Linked DNA regions of Drosophila melanogaster. Changing the gene in region 2 together with the main gene of any one other region gives a genetic interaction. Each region holds a gene or a part of one and is shown on either strand. Other genes may lie near its edges.

What was found.
Region 1: of Ser (region 2) and neur, changing one enhances a phenotype caused by changing the other (phenotypic enhancement), as found in Drosophila melanogaster (one study listed by BioGRID).
Region 3: of Ser (region 2) and Ndfip, changing one suppresses a phenotype caused by changing the other (phenotypic suppression), as found in Drosophila melanogaster (one study listed by BioGRID).

The regions. Positions count from the first base shown.
Region 1 is NT_033777.3:9,030,695-9,035,355, forward strand, and holds the start of neur (neuralized), read right to left. Parts: upstream 3,038-4,661; 5' UTR 2,756-3,037; coding exon 2,485-2,755; intron 1-2,484. UniProt on the Drosophila melanogaster protein: Involved in neurogenesis. Interacts with other neurogenic proteins in the specification of the neuroblast versus epidermoblast cell fate.
Region 2 is NT_033777.3:27,191,243-27,196,157, forward strand, and holds the start of Ser (serrate), read right to left. Parts: upstream 3,026-4,915; 5' UTR 2,702-3,025; intron 883-2,701; 5' UTR 501-882; coding exon 264-500; intron 1-263.
Region 3 is NT_037436.4:17,648,244-17,656,116, reverse strand, and holds the start of Ndfip (Nedd4 family interacting protein), read left to right. Parts: upstream 1-1,836; 5' UTR 1,837-2,125; intron 2,126-5,490; exon of another isoform or gene 5,491-5,584; coding exon of another isoform or gene 5,585-6,238; exon of another isoform or gene 6,239-6,555; intron 6,556-6,870; 5' UTR 6,871-6,872; coding exon 6,873-7,676; 3' UTR 7,677-7,873. Other genes in the region: CG7484 (uncharacterized protein), read right to left, coding at 521-899, 1,217-1,335, 1,391-1,429; Krn (keren), read left to right, coding at 5,585-6,238.

The DNA of each region.
Region 1 (4,661 bases), about 18 Mb from region 2:
CAAGATAGCTAGCTCTTTAGAAAAAAGCTAGCAAAGTTAGCACAAGCATCTTTGTGTATATCCCCAATAGTTAACAACTGGTATTTATAGTTAATCAGTTGCAAAACGTTTACACTTGTAGAGATAACATTTCGCAGTGTCCGTTATCAAAGCGCGAAATTAAGCAGTGCTTCATATCAGCTATATGAACTATACTATACTACAATAACTATACGCAAACTTCAGAATGACACATCGAGATGATGACCTCATGAGGGGGAGAAAAATAAGTGAAAAAATAACGAAGGGGATGCATGAAAGTGGAAAAATATAGCAACAGATGTATGTAGCGAAAATGCTCAGCATACAACTGTGCTCAACAGAAAATGGCTTACTGGGAAATCAACAATAATATGTTAATATTGAAGCAATATTAGCAAAATGTCTCTTAAACATTATGTTTACAGAAATTTGTTTTTAAGCGGCGACTTACATATTTTGAACTTAATAGAATAACATTTTAGGTCTCAGAAGTTAATGTATGTATATTTATGGTGACCAACATTGTACTTAGATATGTACTTATATGTACAAACTTCCTTGGGGGGTGCGTACCGTCATTAACAATTGACTATTTACTTTTGGCCAACAATCGAAGGTCGGGCGACAATTTGTATTTGTGTGTCCCATAATCGGGGTCTCAAAGACGAGTTGGCAGTGCTCAGTTGCAAGCACACGCACGGCCAAGCAAACCATTTCGAAAAGTAAACCGTGAGAAGCTAAGTAAAAGCCAAGAGCAGATAAACTTTTTAGCCAAAGCAAACGTGGCATGCCAACACACAATAATAATAACAACAACAAACAAGGTACGAAATGTAATAGAAAATGCAGGTACAAAAAAGCAAAAGCAGCTGACGCCGAGCAAAACAACAACAAAGCAATTTCATTGATTACCGATAGGCAACGCACGTTCAAAACAAACGGACTGGAGCCGCCGCATAAAACATAAACCATTGCGGGCTTAAGCGCTCAGCAGAAAAATAAAAACTCCAAACACACTCAAGCTTCAAAGCCACGCCTCTTCCTCTTCTCATCCCGCTAGTCCATGGCTCTTCTCTTCTTCTCCTGCCGTGGATCGTTTGCTTTTCTGTTGTTGCTACCTTTGTTTTTGCTTTTGCCGATGGCGGCAACGGCGCTTCGCGTACAATTCCCCGAAAGGCAACAGCAACAACAACAAGCAATACTGAATGAGGCAGATGCAAAAACAGTGGTGGCGGGAAAAATGGAATCTCTTAAATACAGTACAATATTTTGCATAGCCACTTTTGACAAATAAAACTATTCCAGTGCTGAAGGACTAAATTAATAACTTTTTTTTATTATTCATATTGCGTCGTTCGTTGATATTCGACTGCTAGTTGTGCGACCACAATTGTTCGTAGGAGGCCAGTAAAAATAAAAAAAAAAGGGGTAGAAGCTTAGCCTATGCGTCACTGGCTTTGCTTTGCTTTTGCTTCGCCTGCTTTGGCCAAAAAAGAGAGCATTGAAGCCGAGAATGCAATTGAGCCAAAGTCAAAAAAAAAAGGTGATTTGTTGTTTTTACTTCTTTTTTTTTGTCTTTCCTTAGCTCAGCTGCTTGCAACCAAAACAAAAACAGCGCAACAAATTCCCCAGCCCAGATAATCGTTATGATAAACATAATCGCTCCTTGGGAAAATTGCTTTTGGTGGTATTTTCTTCAACTCAAGATCCCTCCGATCTGGTCTTCTCGATCAATTTGCGGTTACTTGGGTGCGATTGAAAAATTCAGTTTTCGAGAACTGACATTTCCGGCGAAAAAGTCGGAGTGTCGATGTTAAATTCTGCCGAAAAAGCCTTGAGAGAATTTCACATTTAAGATTTTTTCGCGCTTCTTTTGTGTCTATCTAGTCGGAAAAAAACAATTACTATTATAATCGCAAACTGGGCGTGTTCTGGGTGAGCATTTATTCATTAGCTTTTTGTTTTAAACTAACTCAAACTTTTTCGGTTTTTGCTCTTATCTTTCGTTATTTGTTATTGTTCTTGAGACGTAAAATGCTAATGTATGCATAAATGATTGCGGCTGGCTGTGTTTCTCGCTTATTTATCTTGCCGCTTTAATTAACCGAATGAATGAAAGAGCGATAGGTCAGACCACATGCTAATATTATGTGGGAATATCGCTGGAGATAAAAATACGATTCCCAGATCGATGAATAATGTATTTAAGGCATTTTCGCACGCGGTAATTACATTTGCTTCAAGACTTTAATGGTCAGATATCACGAAGGAAGTTTTATATTGTTAAAATGTACTACATCTACTTTAGAACCCAATCACACTGATTTTAAAAATTATTCCTGGATATTCCGAGAATTGTACGTCCTTTGAAAAACGACTTGGAAATTAACTGAATATTCTTGTTAATATATCCATCGATATCCTTAGCCCGATTCTTAGCCTGGTACTAATGCGACTACTAACCCAATCCAAAGCGCTTCTTGATCTTCTTGAGCAAGTGCATTTTCTTCTTGCTAGAGAGCTTGTCCTTGGTGCTCATGAGCAGCTCGTTGGACTCCATGGCCAGGACCTGGGCGGCCTGCTGGGCGGGAGTGGGCATGGCGTTGTGCAGCTGCTGCATCTGTTGCAGATGCTGCAAGTGCTGCTGATTCTGGTGGTGCTGCTGCTGCGGATGGAGAGTTAGGTGCGGATGGCTGCCCTGCATATAGTTGGCTGGTATATCCGATAGACCCATGGTAGTGGATTATTTCTTATTTCGTTATTTAAATTAAAACAGACGAACTAAACGAACACGCGTAATGCTAATGAAAATGCACAAGCTGCTTGCGTATTTTATTTGGCATTAAATTAAGCGATAGAGTTCTTCTTCGAATTTGAATGTTTTCCGTTAAAACATTTTGAATTTGGTTGGTTGTTTGTCTGCGCGCAACGGGAACAAACGAAACGAAACGATACGAAACACAAAGACCGACGACGACAACTTCGAGACAACCTTTCGCTGAGTTTTTTTTCAACAAATAAACGGTGGTGCAGCCTTTTATAGCTTCGCACCAGCGCGACGTCGCTGACGCAGCTCAGCTGGAGAGTAACGGATAGTACTGGCGCGCAGAAATTCTCCCGTCAGATTTGGCTTTTTTTAGTATATGTTTTCAAGATATTTAGAAGTTTAGGTATGCCAGTAAGACATATTTGGAAATTTAAGTTTTTTATAATTACTATTAACGTTTAGTGACAATTTGGGCTGTAGATTTGAATAACATTTCCTGTTTTACAATTTAATTAAAATCAAGAAACGGTAACTAAATTACATTAAAAATGCTTCAATTTATTTAAACTTATAATTTGTAAGCAATCTATTCAAATAATTTAAAATTTATCCATTTTCTGGCTAAGGGCTGTCAGCCCTGAGCGTGGATGGAGCGAAAAAGAGAGCTCAAGAGAGAAAATTATGAGACGCCATCGCTCTCTTTCTCTCTCTGGCAGCTGTTTCTTATTTACTATGGTTTCGCTTTGTGCCTGCTATTCGCGTGTATAGAGCCTCCCTTATAATTTACCTTTATGCCTCTAACTCTGCACCTTGATCAGGGATTCCTCCACATCTTCTCCTGCTGTTGCTCTTCCTGCTTCTTGTTGTTGTTGCTCTAGGCCTGCATTTGGGATTTTGGCCATAGTGCTCTGATCTTCACTAACAGTTATTCTCCTCACCTTAGTGTGTGTGTAGTTCAGCCAGGTTCAAAGCAATTCTTTTTCTTTTTCGCAGGGTTTACAAGGTCTGGCTCATATAACTAGAAAACTATTTCAATTGCCCTAATGCTTTTGATCGTGAACTTTGTGGGCCAAATATCACACGTACATACATATGTGTGTATGTATGTACTCAGTTGGAGTATGTATGGAGTAATTCCATGGGAATTAAAAAAAATTCCCAAACGTTTCTTGATAATAATAATAAATTTCTTCTTTTCCCAATTGTTTTCGGCACATTTAATTGTCCATTTTGTATGTGCAATTTATTTTAATAGAGAATATGAAACGAGATTTGTTTTTGTTTTGATTTTTTAAGTTTGCACTATAAAGATTATAAAATGAAATGGAAAGTTTGTAACTCAATTCCCAGTTTTGAAACCATTAGCTTACACAGAATTTAAAAAAATGTACCTATGATCTGGGACACATGCTATTGTGGTCTCATTTGCTAAGCTTTAGCATTGTGGTCAGCAGGATAACTGCCGTCTGGCGTCTGATCATCCTTTATCCTTTATGGATGCCACGCTGCCATTGATGGAGGATGATAATTGCGCCGAGCGCTCCTTATCCTCATCCTCGTCCTTTTTGTCCTGCATCGACAGACGGAACCGGGCAGACCTCACAGCAGATGCAATTTTCAAGATCGGAAGGGATCAAGACGGGGCAGAAAGCATTTAAATTTTGATATTAAAGTGGAAATGCATATTCAGCATCCTGGCAGCAGGCGTGCGTCCTGGAAATACATCTGCTGCTGCTTACCCGATTTCCCCCTCCTGTTCGCTCAGTTTGCAAAAATGCAAAAAAGGTCGGAGAAGGTGATGTTGGCGAAACAGGAACCGGCAGACATCGAGACCAACGAACAACCCCAAAAATTGTCAAAGAATACAGTGATC
Region 2 (4,915 bases):
GAGCTCTCATTAAAGACAGCTCTTCGGGATGCGGAGTTGATAAATCACTCAAAAAAATAAACCCAAAAATCATCATTATTTACGTCCCCCATCAAAACTTTGCCCTCAGCCATTGCCAATTCGCATGGGTTGAATCAACTTTGTCTGTTTTCTTTTGGCCTTTTTGACGAGACACTACACCCGCATGTATTTGGATCTGGGGCTTTTTGCGATTATTGCTTTGGGGATTCGATCGTTTTTTGCATGTTGGTTGGTTTGCTTACCTTATGGACTAACAGTATTAAAATTAAAGCAATTAAGTTGCAGGCAGACTTTAATGATCGACAATCGCGGATCGTCGATGGCAGGGTCGCGATTTTGGGTACCCGATGCCTCGGACGCTGCCTTTTTGTCGCCGTCTTCTTGGACATTCCCAGGCTGTCTGCTGATTCTATTGTTGACTCCAACGACGACGACGTAGCTGGTTTTCGCCGAAAATGTTTCCTAAACATTTTGTACATTCTGGGGGCGTTTGCGAGCGTGATGCTGGTTGGCGATCTAGATGGAGTTTGTTTCGGATTCACTCTGGATTGGCACCACACAAATGTAAATTCGCTGGGCAGCCTTAATTAGCCCATGTATGCAGATTTTGGTGCCTTTGTTTGTTTCTATTTTGCCACACTACACTTGCTCTGGATAGCTGAATAACTGGCCGTACTCTGGATGCTGTATCATTTTCTCCACTTTGCCTTCGTTTTGTTTGGTTTTGTTTGGATAATGTTGTTATCACACACAATTATTATTTATTATTTATATGGACCTTAGTATGTGCTTCTCTCGTTTTTGTTTTGTTCACACTTGACACTTCCACTTGATAGGCGCTGATGTTTTGTAGATCTTTAGCTGTAACAATTGTCGAACGAATTGGAATTGAAACGGGCTGCGCAAAATCTATTTCACTGTGCATCATCAACGCTAATTGACACGCAGATGATGCTGCTGCTGCTGCAGTTGCAGTTGCAGTAGCGGCAACCGCAGCAAGCCGCAACAAGTGCCACCAGCCACCGCAGCAACATTTACTTTTGCCAGACCGCAAAAAGCGGCAACGTGCAGCAAATGCAAATGCAATTCAATTTATGTTAATTTAACGCTGTTACTGCCGCTGCTGATGTGGCTGCTTCTGCAGTTGCTGCTGCTGCGACTATGGAGCCGTGTCTTTGGCCACAAACAATTTGCATCTTGTGCGCATATTAATTTACAGATATTTTCACTCTTGCTCACATTACTCATTCTTCCCACCCTGCCGCTGCTTTTGCCATTCCGGCCATCCTATCCTCCCATGGCCTTTAGCCCCCCAGCCCGCCCCGGTTCCTCCTGCTCGGGTGTTAATTGTCCATTTAATTAAGTAATTTGCTTGGGGCCTCCTCCCGGCTTTGGCACGGAACGGAAGTCGTTGACTTTGAATCGAAACCCAGATGCTGCCGCTCTTGCTCATGCTGCTGCTGCTGCTGCCGCTGATGTGGATGTTGCTGCTGCTGCAGGGCATGACCGGAAGTGGCTTTTGCAAGTGGATGATGCAGCTACCTCCCCCTTAATACCCCCTAATACCGCTACTTTCACTCTTCTCTCTTGGCAATTTGCAAAACGATGAATGAACTTCTAGCGGCCTCAAAACTTTAGTATACCGTGTATCCATTTCTATTTCTAGTAACTTCTGGATATACTCTGATTTATCAAATAATTGTGCAACCAGATCACCGTCTTGAACTTAACGATCTGAATAAGCTTTGGACCGTGCTAGATCCGTTATTCGTTGCATATGGTAAATCATTGAGCAGTGCATCGAGCATTTTCCGCGCTCTCTTGATCAGGGGCTTTCCCATGCTCGTACCACCCATTCAGAACCAAACTGATTTCACAATCTCTCTTTTCTCCCGGTGCACAGAAGAAAACTACACTACTTCATCTATACGGAAAGTTCTTTAACTTTCTAATAAAACATTTGTTATTCAATTCAAAATTCTTTAAATTTAGAAAAAAAAATCCGTGTTAAGCATCGCTTTTAGAAAGTCAAATACTTTCAATAGGTTGTTTGGGAATCCCACTTATTAAGTTCTAGTGGAAATTTCTCTATGTGCGCCCATTATTATTATTATTTGTATTATCTGCGTGCATTATGAACTAGTCGGATGTTTTCATTCTTTCTCCCTTTCACTTGGCATGTTTCAATTCCACTTCGTAGTTGTAGCTTCGTGTGTTTGTGTCCCTGTTTTGCGTCCCTGTGTGCGTTATCAATGGAGCACACTGTGGCCAGCGATTCCCCCGGAATGGGGCACTCGTTTTCGCATATTCACATTGTTTGCACTTTTACTTTTCGCCTTTGATTAAACACAATTTTGACGGCATTGTATTTTGATATATTAATGTATTGTATTTAATTGAAAGGTATTTCCGTTTTCCTTAGCTCACACGATCTGGGCTCAGAAATTAATCACACACTATGGAAACACACACATAGCAAAATGTCGGCTGATTGTCGATCTTTCGATTTGCTTTTCTTCCACCGAGCATTTGTAGTTGATTGCTCTTCATCATTTGTTGTAATCAGCAAGCAATTTAATTCGATTGCGGCACATTAAACACTTTCACAATTGTTATATGGATGATGGTCGGTGGCGTTCAGTTTGGGTGCACAATAATCCAATTCGAGGAGGGGTTTTACCGTTGACAGAAAAGGGGCTCATCACCGCTCGAAGCACGGCGCTCGACTAAACGCGTTAACCGAATCCTGCGGCATTTCCAGCCCTCGAGCAGCATCCATTCACGGGGCGGAGCAAGTCACGCGAGAGAGCTGCGGTTTTGGTGGTGGTAAAGGTGGTGAGGTGAGCTGTCGCTGCTGCTGCTGGTGGTGGTGGTGGTGGTGGTGATCTGCAGTCTTAAGAGAACTGTGGCTCGGTCTGAACCACCGAAACCGCTTTCAAAATAAACTGGCGACGACTTCCGCTGAGTGCTGCGTGCGCTTCAGGCTTCGACTAACGACTGATTGCCTCTGGGCACAAGTTGCCGTCGATCCCGAGAGCTTAACTCGCAGCGATTCTCTCTGTGCTTCTCTTTGAAGAAAACCAGTTTGCTCTTCGTGCAGTGCTCTTTAGCCAGCCGCTGATTGGTCGTACGACTGTATATAGCCCCGGGGCCCGGAATCTGAATCAGAATCGGCAGTTAATGGAGTTGCTGCCGCTTCGGCTGCTGCACGCATGCGCGCCCGAGGCTCTCGGCTGCCGTTTTTTACGATTCCAACTTAATTATGCCAATAAGTGCATTCTGGGGCTGTGTGTGTATGTGTGTGTGTGCTCCAGATCTAGTAGCTCCAAGGGACTGGCAATTAACACCTAATATGAAGGAACGCTCCCACAATCTTTAACGGCTGGGAACCAAATCGAAAGATACTAGCATCGGCCAATTATTAACCACACAGACAGAGCGGCGACTTCCATCCAATTATCTGCTGGCCAAAAGTGTATAAATCAAATTTAAATGCAACTGGCCTATCAGTGCAGCCAAAACAAAAGACTTAAGCAACAAACTTGGCAATTACATGCGGCCAACAAGACAGGCGGCAGCATCTTTGTTGTTGCTGCTGCCTACCTTACTGTTGTTGTTAGCGGCTCATATTTCTTGAGGCGCATATCTAAATATCGAATCATGTTGCTGATTTTCCATTGTCTGCCCACCACAGCAACAACAGCAGCAGCAACAACTGCTGCTGCCTCAACAACTGCAACAACACATAGTAAATCTCATTGTGCCGTTGTGACATGACTCTTGTTCGACAATAGATAAAACAAATTGACTTGGTGTGTGCCCAAAATGTCTTCTCTAGCCGTCTCCCTGGCCATTTGGGTCTCCATCCTCCTCTATTTGGTGGGCGTACTGGGCAGCGGTCTCCCAGCTCCTTTGTCATCTTTTCTCGCTTAAAAAAAAAGAAGAAAAAAAAAACAGAAGAAATGGAAGAAAAACTGCACTACAATGCCCATTATCAGCTTACATATCTGCGACAAGAGACCCCAGAGCGGCAATTGTACGGGCCACCGAGACGGCAACGGCAAAGGCAACTGCCAGCGGCAATGGCAACGGCTTCGTTGTCCAAATATGTTGCAAGTTGGTGTTATTCTTCACACGGCATCATAAATTTCACGTATAATTGACGCTTTCAGTTATATCAAAATTGGCTAAAAGGCGACGACCAGCTTTGCGTTGGTGGCCAGCAGACTACAGCCTTCAGCCATCAGCCTCCAGAGACTTCGAGCTGGTGCTCCCCAGAGATATTATTTTTGCTCACTGTGGCTTACATTGTTTTCGTTTTGATTTCAACTAATAGCAGACAACGACTTACAGGTGTCTTTGTGCGCGTCTCTCATAATTTGGGGGCACTCTGTGTTGGCGGCTTGTTGGACACTTGTTCGGGTTTGATGGCATTTCTTTTTTGGGATTAGCTTTCGTTTTCCGGCCAAGTGTTTTTGTGTTTTTTGGTTTTACTGTCACATGTAACAGCTGCAAAAGTGGACCAGAGCGGTGGCATAAATCCATAAAATCAAACATATTGAGTAATCAAAATGTTAAACCCACCCTCTTGACAAAGGTTCACCCCCTCAAACCAAAAAAACCCTCGTTGGGCGAGTTCATTAAACAAACAGGCAAATATGTTGGCAATTTCAACCAGTTGGTTTTACACCACTCAACATTTTATGACAGATTTTTCAAGTGTTTTTTCCGCCTCCTCGTTTTTCTTTTTTAATTTTTCACTCCTCCTGCTGCCGTTGTGGTGGCTGTTTGCGGTTAGTGGTTTCTGGTGGTTTAGTGGTTGCCACATAGTGGCCGCCCTTCGTCCGGAGAATCATTGCCTTAGGTTAGTTGTTTACGAAGGCTTTTATTGGCA
Region 3 (7,873 bases), on a different chromosome or scaffold from region 2:
GTGTGGTGTGATGTCTTTGCGATAAGAATTTCGGCTACAATGCCGCGAATTTGTTGCCTCAGCCGGGAACTTTCCTTTGCCATCGATAACAAGATAACAAATAAAATGATTTAATTTATACTTATGAATCGAAAACTCCCACGGCGTCGCATTGCAGTAACTGGCTTGTCAGTTACTCTCAAACTGTGTCCACAGCTTTTCCGCGGTGGCGCGTAGAAAAGCTCACGCCACCTTGCAGTGGCTCTAAAAACTTTTAAAAACTAAATCTCTTTAGTTAGATTAGATCTCTCATATTACAAGCCAATTTTATGTATATCCCTGATCTTGATGTTTATATTTTTTAAATTCAGTGGCTTGACATCCCAGAAGTTTGGAGTACTAATCTCACGTCTACACATTTTTAGTTCTTGAACAGAATATATTTAACAAAATATAAATATTCAATGATTTTGAAAGAAAATGGTACGGTCTATAGTTTTGTTTCGGATTTTATTAATCTACAGTTTTGGGTATGCTTATTTTAGATCCTGTTGGTTCGCAGGTAATCTTCATCGTCATCTCCATCGGCATCCTCCACCACGCTGTACGAATTCTTGCCGGCACCATCCTTGGCCAGATGCGTTTCGAAGAACTCCTCGACAGTGTCTGTGTTCCACTTGGTTATGGACAACGTCTCCTGCACTTTGCCACTGGCATCTAGGAGCTTAACCACGGGATCCAGTCCTCTTACGTATTTGATCTGCAGGTTGGGGAACTTGGCAGGTCGGCCGCTTTGAATAAAGGCCTGAATCTGCGGATAGGCCCGGAATTTGCAGGTGCACACCTCCAGAATTGCCTTGGCATATGTCCGCTGTGCCGCCGGCTGCTGATCCAAAGTGCAGCATTGCTTACACTGAGGCCTGAAATGTTAAAAATGTTTTGGATGAATAAAAAAGAGCAATGGGCTCAAGCAGAAACTATAAAAAGTTAATATAATTTTTGTTATTAAAAACTGAAGGAAGAATCATATTTAGTCAGTGGTATGGAGGAGCTTACTAAGTCAAGCTAAGCATTTTTGGTTGGAATATTTAAAATGAGGTATGAAATTTAACCTGATCTAATTAGATTAACATATTAATTAAACAATTTTCAGGTCTTCTTATGGAATGATTATAGCATAGTTCATGGGTATCTTTACAACTCCAAAGCTAGATTAATTAAATGTTATTGAACCCACTTGATGGTATCCAATCCGAAATCATCCAGTTTTTCGCAACTGGAACACATTAACTGGGCCTTAATAAAACCCAACGCCCGGCAGTCGGCGGCCGTCAATTCGGCTTGAATTTGCTGGCACTGTAGGGTATAAAATATATATTAAAAACATGTCTTAGCTTCAGACATAACTTACACTTAAAGCCAGTAGAAGAAATATAGCACATTTATGCATTTTTGTGGCTAAATTCTAATTAAATTTACTACGTCCACGTCGTTGTTTACAAAATTTTCTTAGCTTAGTGATGAGTAGAAGGGAAAATAACATTATTTAGGCTTATCGATTATATTCGGGTTGCTTGTCTTTTCATCGTTTAGGGTATTCCGTATACTGTTTATGAATTAGACAATTAATCAAACTTTTGAACAGCTTTAATAAACTTATTATTATTATTTCTTGATATTTTTTCAGCAATTTGAAACTTTTGTCACTATAAAAGTGTACAAAATAATTTCAGGTTTTTATATTCAAGTACGCAAGTTTATTTTCCGATGTTAATAACTAATTTCATGTGATTCGATAGCTTATCACGCTTACATCCCTACAATCGATACGGACTGCCCAGCAGCTGGCCACCACTAGCTCAGAAATCGAAGATTATTCGTGGTGGTGCATTTGTTTTTTTCGCTTCGCTCGCGAAGTGAGCCCAGTTTTAAATTATTTAAATTGCGTATAGTGAAGCCACTTGAAAGCGAAACGCCTACTGTCGCAGTTCTGCCAAAAAACCAACAGTATTAGCTGTGTGCGTGTTTGGCAACAACAAGTCAACAAAATTCGAACAAAATCAATAAAACGGAAACGTGAGAGAGCGCTGCGCAAAAGAGAAAAGCGAACGCAATCGCAATCGACCAACGCATAGAAGAAAACAAGGTGAATAAATAGAACATGGCATAGAAAAGGCGAACTAGAATCAAATCGAATTAAAATCGGGTACAGAAATAGACGTGAAAAGAAAGGGCGAAGAAAGGGAAACAAATAACCGTTACAGGAGCACTCCTGGAGATTTAAGGCTCTCTCTCCCCCTCCTCAGCACTTTAGCCCCAGTTGTGCGTTTGTGTGTGTACATGTGTTTATGTTTTGTTTAGCACATTAATAATCTTAATTCTGCTAGATTTCGCCACTCAGGTGCTAAACGCTAAAAAAAAAAGTGCACACTCCGATAAGTCTACCCCTGTGTCGGTGTACTTGTTTATTTAATTCATATTTACTCAAGTAAATTAATTCATTTGCCCTTGTACAATAACAACAAGCGCCGTTTGCTTGGAAACTCGTTCTCGCAGTCGACCGCCTCCCCTCTTCGCTCCTAATCTTATTCTTTCTCTATTCCACTGCAATACCACTGCAGCTGTCGGTGCCTGTGTGTTTTTCATTCAATCCAGGAAATTGCCCCTTGAGAGACCTTCCATTCAGACAGCTCCATCTGCATCTTCTTCAGCTTCTTCCGCTTGCATCTTCATCCTCTCTCTTGTGCTCCCGGTCCCGTTTAACTGGTTTACTTTATGCTTTATTCCACTGATGCCTCCTCTATCGCCCTCTCCCTTGCGCACACCTGCTGCTTGGCAGCTGTCCACGCGCTCAAATTTCTTATCACCGAACAAACTCCGGCTGAAACCCAAAACCTGGCCCAAACTGCGTTGTTACTTTTCCACGGCAATTCCCTAATTTCCAACGCCTTTTGTCACGGCCCTGTTGCTTTCTCCCTCTCGAGAGCTCTAACTCCCTCTCCAATCCTATTTTTACATACACGCATACGCAGTAAAACTTGGCTATGACAAACCACATATTATTCTATAGATACCAAATACTGTTTTTTTAATACTGTATATTGTTAGATACAAAAACACTTTTGGAATTACAAATCCAGATGGAATTATTAAAAAAAAATATGTATATATTTTGCACAAAATTTCTCATCTGTTTCAAAGGTAATTCCATATGTGTTGACATTTAGAAATGTAAAAGCTTTTCTATTTATTTTAAAGATTCAAAAATTATTTTTAGCCGAATGCATACGCATTAAAAGCAAATCGATTTATTCGGTTTAAACATCTATTGTTTTTCAATGGAAAAACCAGTGTATTTTCCAGAGAACCTTACCTAAGTTTTTATATGTATATATTACATTGAAAATAATTATATGCCAGCTTTGAAGCATGTTAACGATAAGTGTACTTGAGCCCGATTGTTAGTGAATTCTTAAAAAATAAGAATGAGCAAAGTCGCTTTACATTGGGATTGATTGTGAAATCCTCCAAATCTTTGTGTGTCACTATAGAGTCTTATTTAAAATGATATTACCAAATGTATTGGCAAAACGCAGATAAGTTCAACTGTACAATGTGCAATCTCTCGGTTTCGTGCAATTTTGCAATTTTTCAAATGCCCGCACATCTGACTCATCCACAGGTAACTGTAATTACTGCCTAGCATCCACTTGCTTTCCGCACCTGTGGATGGTATTTGTCACCTTATCAATACGGTTTCTCTGTGTTGACTGTGATTTTAGATATTCCTGCGCACGAAAAAAATTGGACACCTCTAAATTTAATTATACAAATAGTACTGTTTATGTTTTCCTATATTTATTGAAGTATTTTAAAGTGTGTATACAAAAGTAATTATTGAGTGCATATGAAACCAAAGTCTTTTGTATTCTGATACAAAAATCATATCATATATGATATCAAAATTTATTTCTGTGTACTCTGCTGTTTGTGAGGTCAATTTTTGATAAGCCACCAGGTGCTCATTTAGCTCGTTGGCGCCTATTAGCTCATTATTCAAGCTTACGTCCGGCTCACCCACATACCCACAGATATAAAAAAAAACTATACAAAAAACCCATATATGCACTCGCAGAAATTAGGGCCAACTTAAGCCCACTCACGCAGTTTCTTTATTGGCTTGAACTATTTTTGTTTTGCTCGTTTGGCTCCGTTTATATTTCAATTGACCGAAAGGTCATCTTAATTGCATTTGTGTTTTGCGACTGTCGCACTGTCCTACTCGCACTCGCACTCGCACTCTTCTCCTGCCATTTCAGCTGTCAACTTTCACTCGTGAGCTTTGTTGTTGTTATTTTTAGACGTAGGTGCGTGCCACACATGTGATGGGAGGAAAGGGGAAATTTTATGGGGCTTAGGGCTCCGTTGAGCTTTACAAAGCAATTGGACACGGTTTAGTCCAAGGACTCGCGACTGTGGATTGAGATTCCGACTAGTGACGAGAGTCCTAGAAAATAAAAGCTAAATGCTATCTTATATATAATTGACTGTTTGAAATAAAGTACAAATATTAGATTTAATGTGCTAACATCCAAACAGGTGACGAAAGCAAAACTTTTTAAAACGAAGTGTATATTTATTATAATTGCAACTGTTTCGCTCTTCTTTCCTTCACTTCCAAGTAGAAGAATATAACTTTAGTTTTGATTAATAATGTAATATTGCATGTTTGAATAAAAAAATAGTTCAATTTCACTGACATATTTCCTAATATAAATTTAGACAGTTAAGTTGGCATGACTAGCGTTTATTGAAAGCACTTAGAAAGTTTTAATTTACGTTAAGTGGAATTCCGAAAATTAGTGTTTCTGAAAACGACACTGTTATTGTGGATCACAACTAAGGCGAGCACTAATTTGTTTATGTTTTTTACGCCCACTCAAATGGTCGCCACTCAAATGTTGCTTACAAATGATGTATTTGTTTCAGCAGAATTACTCAACATCGTTGTTTCTGTTGATCATTCGAATTATTTTGTTTATATACGCAACGGGATCAGTTACATTCTAATGAAGCTCATTCTTTCTCCGGAAAAGATCTTGTTTATAACAAGGCGTTTCGAAATCCTAAGGTTAAATCAATTTTTTATACGTTTAAATACATCTTGTATTAAACAGTTTTTATATATTGAAGTGCCTGAAGTGTTCGCTATGTTAAGTGAGAGTGTAAACAGAAAAACCAATTGATAATGAATGCAGGCTGTGCAAATGCCACAGCCGCTTGGGTTCCGCTCGCGATTCCGGCCAGGTAAATAAACGATGTCATTTTTTTGTTAAAAATTTATGAAATTCGATTTTCTGTTTCTCGTTCTCACTTAGGTCGAGGAGCATAGGTTGTAATTGTGAGAAGGAGGCGGCTGGCGGTGCTAGGCAGGCAATTAACCCACACAGACCCGAACACGAGCTTACATTTTTGATTTGTTTTTAATTGCACTTCGTTTTTGTTTTGCAGCCGCCTGCCAGCCAAAGCCAAGAATTCCACATTACAAAACACCTTAAACTGCATTGCCACATTCCCAAGTAAGCTGCCATGAGTTAAGATCAAGATGCGAGCCCAGGATCTGCTGCTGCTTGCCACCGCTTTAATCGGCGCTTACCTACCGCTCACCGCCGCCTGTTCCTCGCGTGCCATCGCTAAGCCGCGGCCAACAGCTGCACCGATCCTGCCGCCGGATAATGTGGAAATATCCACAACGCCGAGACCGAATGTCACCTTCCCGATCTTCGCCTGTCCACCGACCTATGTCGCCTGGTATTGCCTGAACGATGGCACCTGCTTTACGGTGAAGATCCACAATGAAATCCTATACAACTGCGAATGTGCGCTGGGATTTATGGGTCCGAGGTGCGAGTACAAGGAGATTGATGGCTCGTACCTGCCAACCAGGAACCGTGTGATGCTAGAGAAGGCCAGCATTGTTAGCGGAGCAACGCTGGCCCTTCTGTTTATGGCCATGTGCTGTGTGGTTTTGTATCTGCGACACGAGAAGCTGCAAAAACAAAAGCTGCACGACAGCACCACAACCACAACGACCGACGGTGGCTGTCAGAACGAGGGCATGGACGAGGTGGATGGCTTGCGACCCTTACGTCCAGTGAGACGTCCCTTTGGACCCTGCCGCATCCTATCGCTGGAGGAGGCCCACCTTCAAGCGAAAGCCTCCAATCGCCCCAGGCATTGCAACGAACTTTTGCGCTAACTAATTAGCCTGGCTGCTCATTTGTTTTTAAATGTCTAACATGTCCAACTGTTTATTTTAACTGCTAAACGAAACTATTATTTTTGCCATCTGATTGAGATGGCGAATGCCGTAGTTCTAAGTGCCTACTGACGTGCCTATAACACATTTAGATCAAGTATTAACGAACGAAAACTGATTGCTCAGAGAGAGATAAAAATAAATCTAGATATAATTCAATGCAATTTTGGCAGCTAGCCGCCCATTTATTTATTATACACCTAATTTTATTAAAAAAAAAAACGCGTGAACTAATATCGTCAATAAAAGCGAGAACTAAATCACCAGCTTTACTTTCAATTTAGATAATGCAAATTTCGAATACCTTTAGAATTTGATTGGGAATAGTTTGCACAAAATTCACCATGGCCTTGATTTTCCTTTTATTTCAGAGATGCATGTAAATACTAAACAGTTGATCTGTTAAGCTACACGAAAATAAGGATATCTTAAATTTAGTATGTAAGAAAGAAAAGAATTTCTTAAGAATCTTCTTTTCTGAGACGTCACCTTAGGCTGTCAAAAAAATTCATATGCTTTGTAACCCCTTAAGCACTGAATTAATTTTCCCGTTTTCCGTTTGTAATTTCCAGTCATGCCGCACAACAACCAGCCGTCTCCCGGGGATGATCAGTTGGGACCGCCAAAGGCGGACTTCAGTGCTCCGCCACCGTACGAGGCGAACGTTGGCCATGGCCAGCAGGTAGCACTGCCGGCTCAGATGCCACCGCTGGCCTTGGCCACACCCGATCCCAGTCAGATCCCGATACAGATGCAAGTGCAGCTGCCGAGCCAGGCGGACCTTATGAATGCACAACTGCCGCCAGAAATACACGGGAAGTTGCCCACGTACGAGGAGGTTCAAATGGAAAAGTCGCTGAACGGAGAGCTGCCGCCCGCCTTTTTGACTTTACCCTCCTCGCAGCAGCTACCGCCGCCGCCGAATCCGCTACTGCCGCCAAATCCGCTGCGCGATGGAGCCGCTGCTGTGCGATCTGCCCAGCCGGCACTCACGTTCATCGCCATCGATGCCAGCGATCCGGAAAATAGTCTGTCCACCACCGACAACTTGCTCGGCACGGACATCATGTTCATCACGGCCTTCATTGTGGCCTTTTTGTTTAACTGGATCGGCTTCCTGATGCTCACCTGTTTCTGTCACACAATCGCCGCCCGATATGGAGCATTGTCGGGATTCGGATTGTCGCTGGCTAAATGGACGCTGATCGTGAAGCACTCGACGGACTTGGCCTCGCACGAAAACTCCTGGCTCTGGTGGCTGATCTGTGCCTTTGGCTTCCTGATCAGCATACGCGCTTTAATACAGTATGTCAGCATCAAGCGATCGTGGCGCCTCCTTTCCGCCTCTGCCCAGGAACGGCTGCTATTCTTTTACTAGGTGCACCTGGAGGCTTTCCAGTGGTCGTCTTGTAAATACGTTGTGGGTGGCTAGGAGGCTCGAATGCTACCAACCAACCGATCCCAACACCCTCTATTCCCCAGACCCAGCACACGAAAAATCAACGCGAACTTATTTTGCAGAGTTCTCGAAATCACTATGGACTTGAAAGTATTCCCTCAAATGTATTAGTCAAT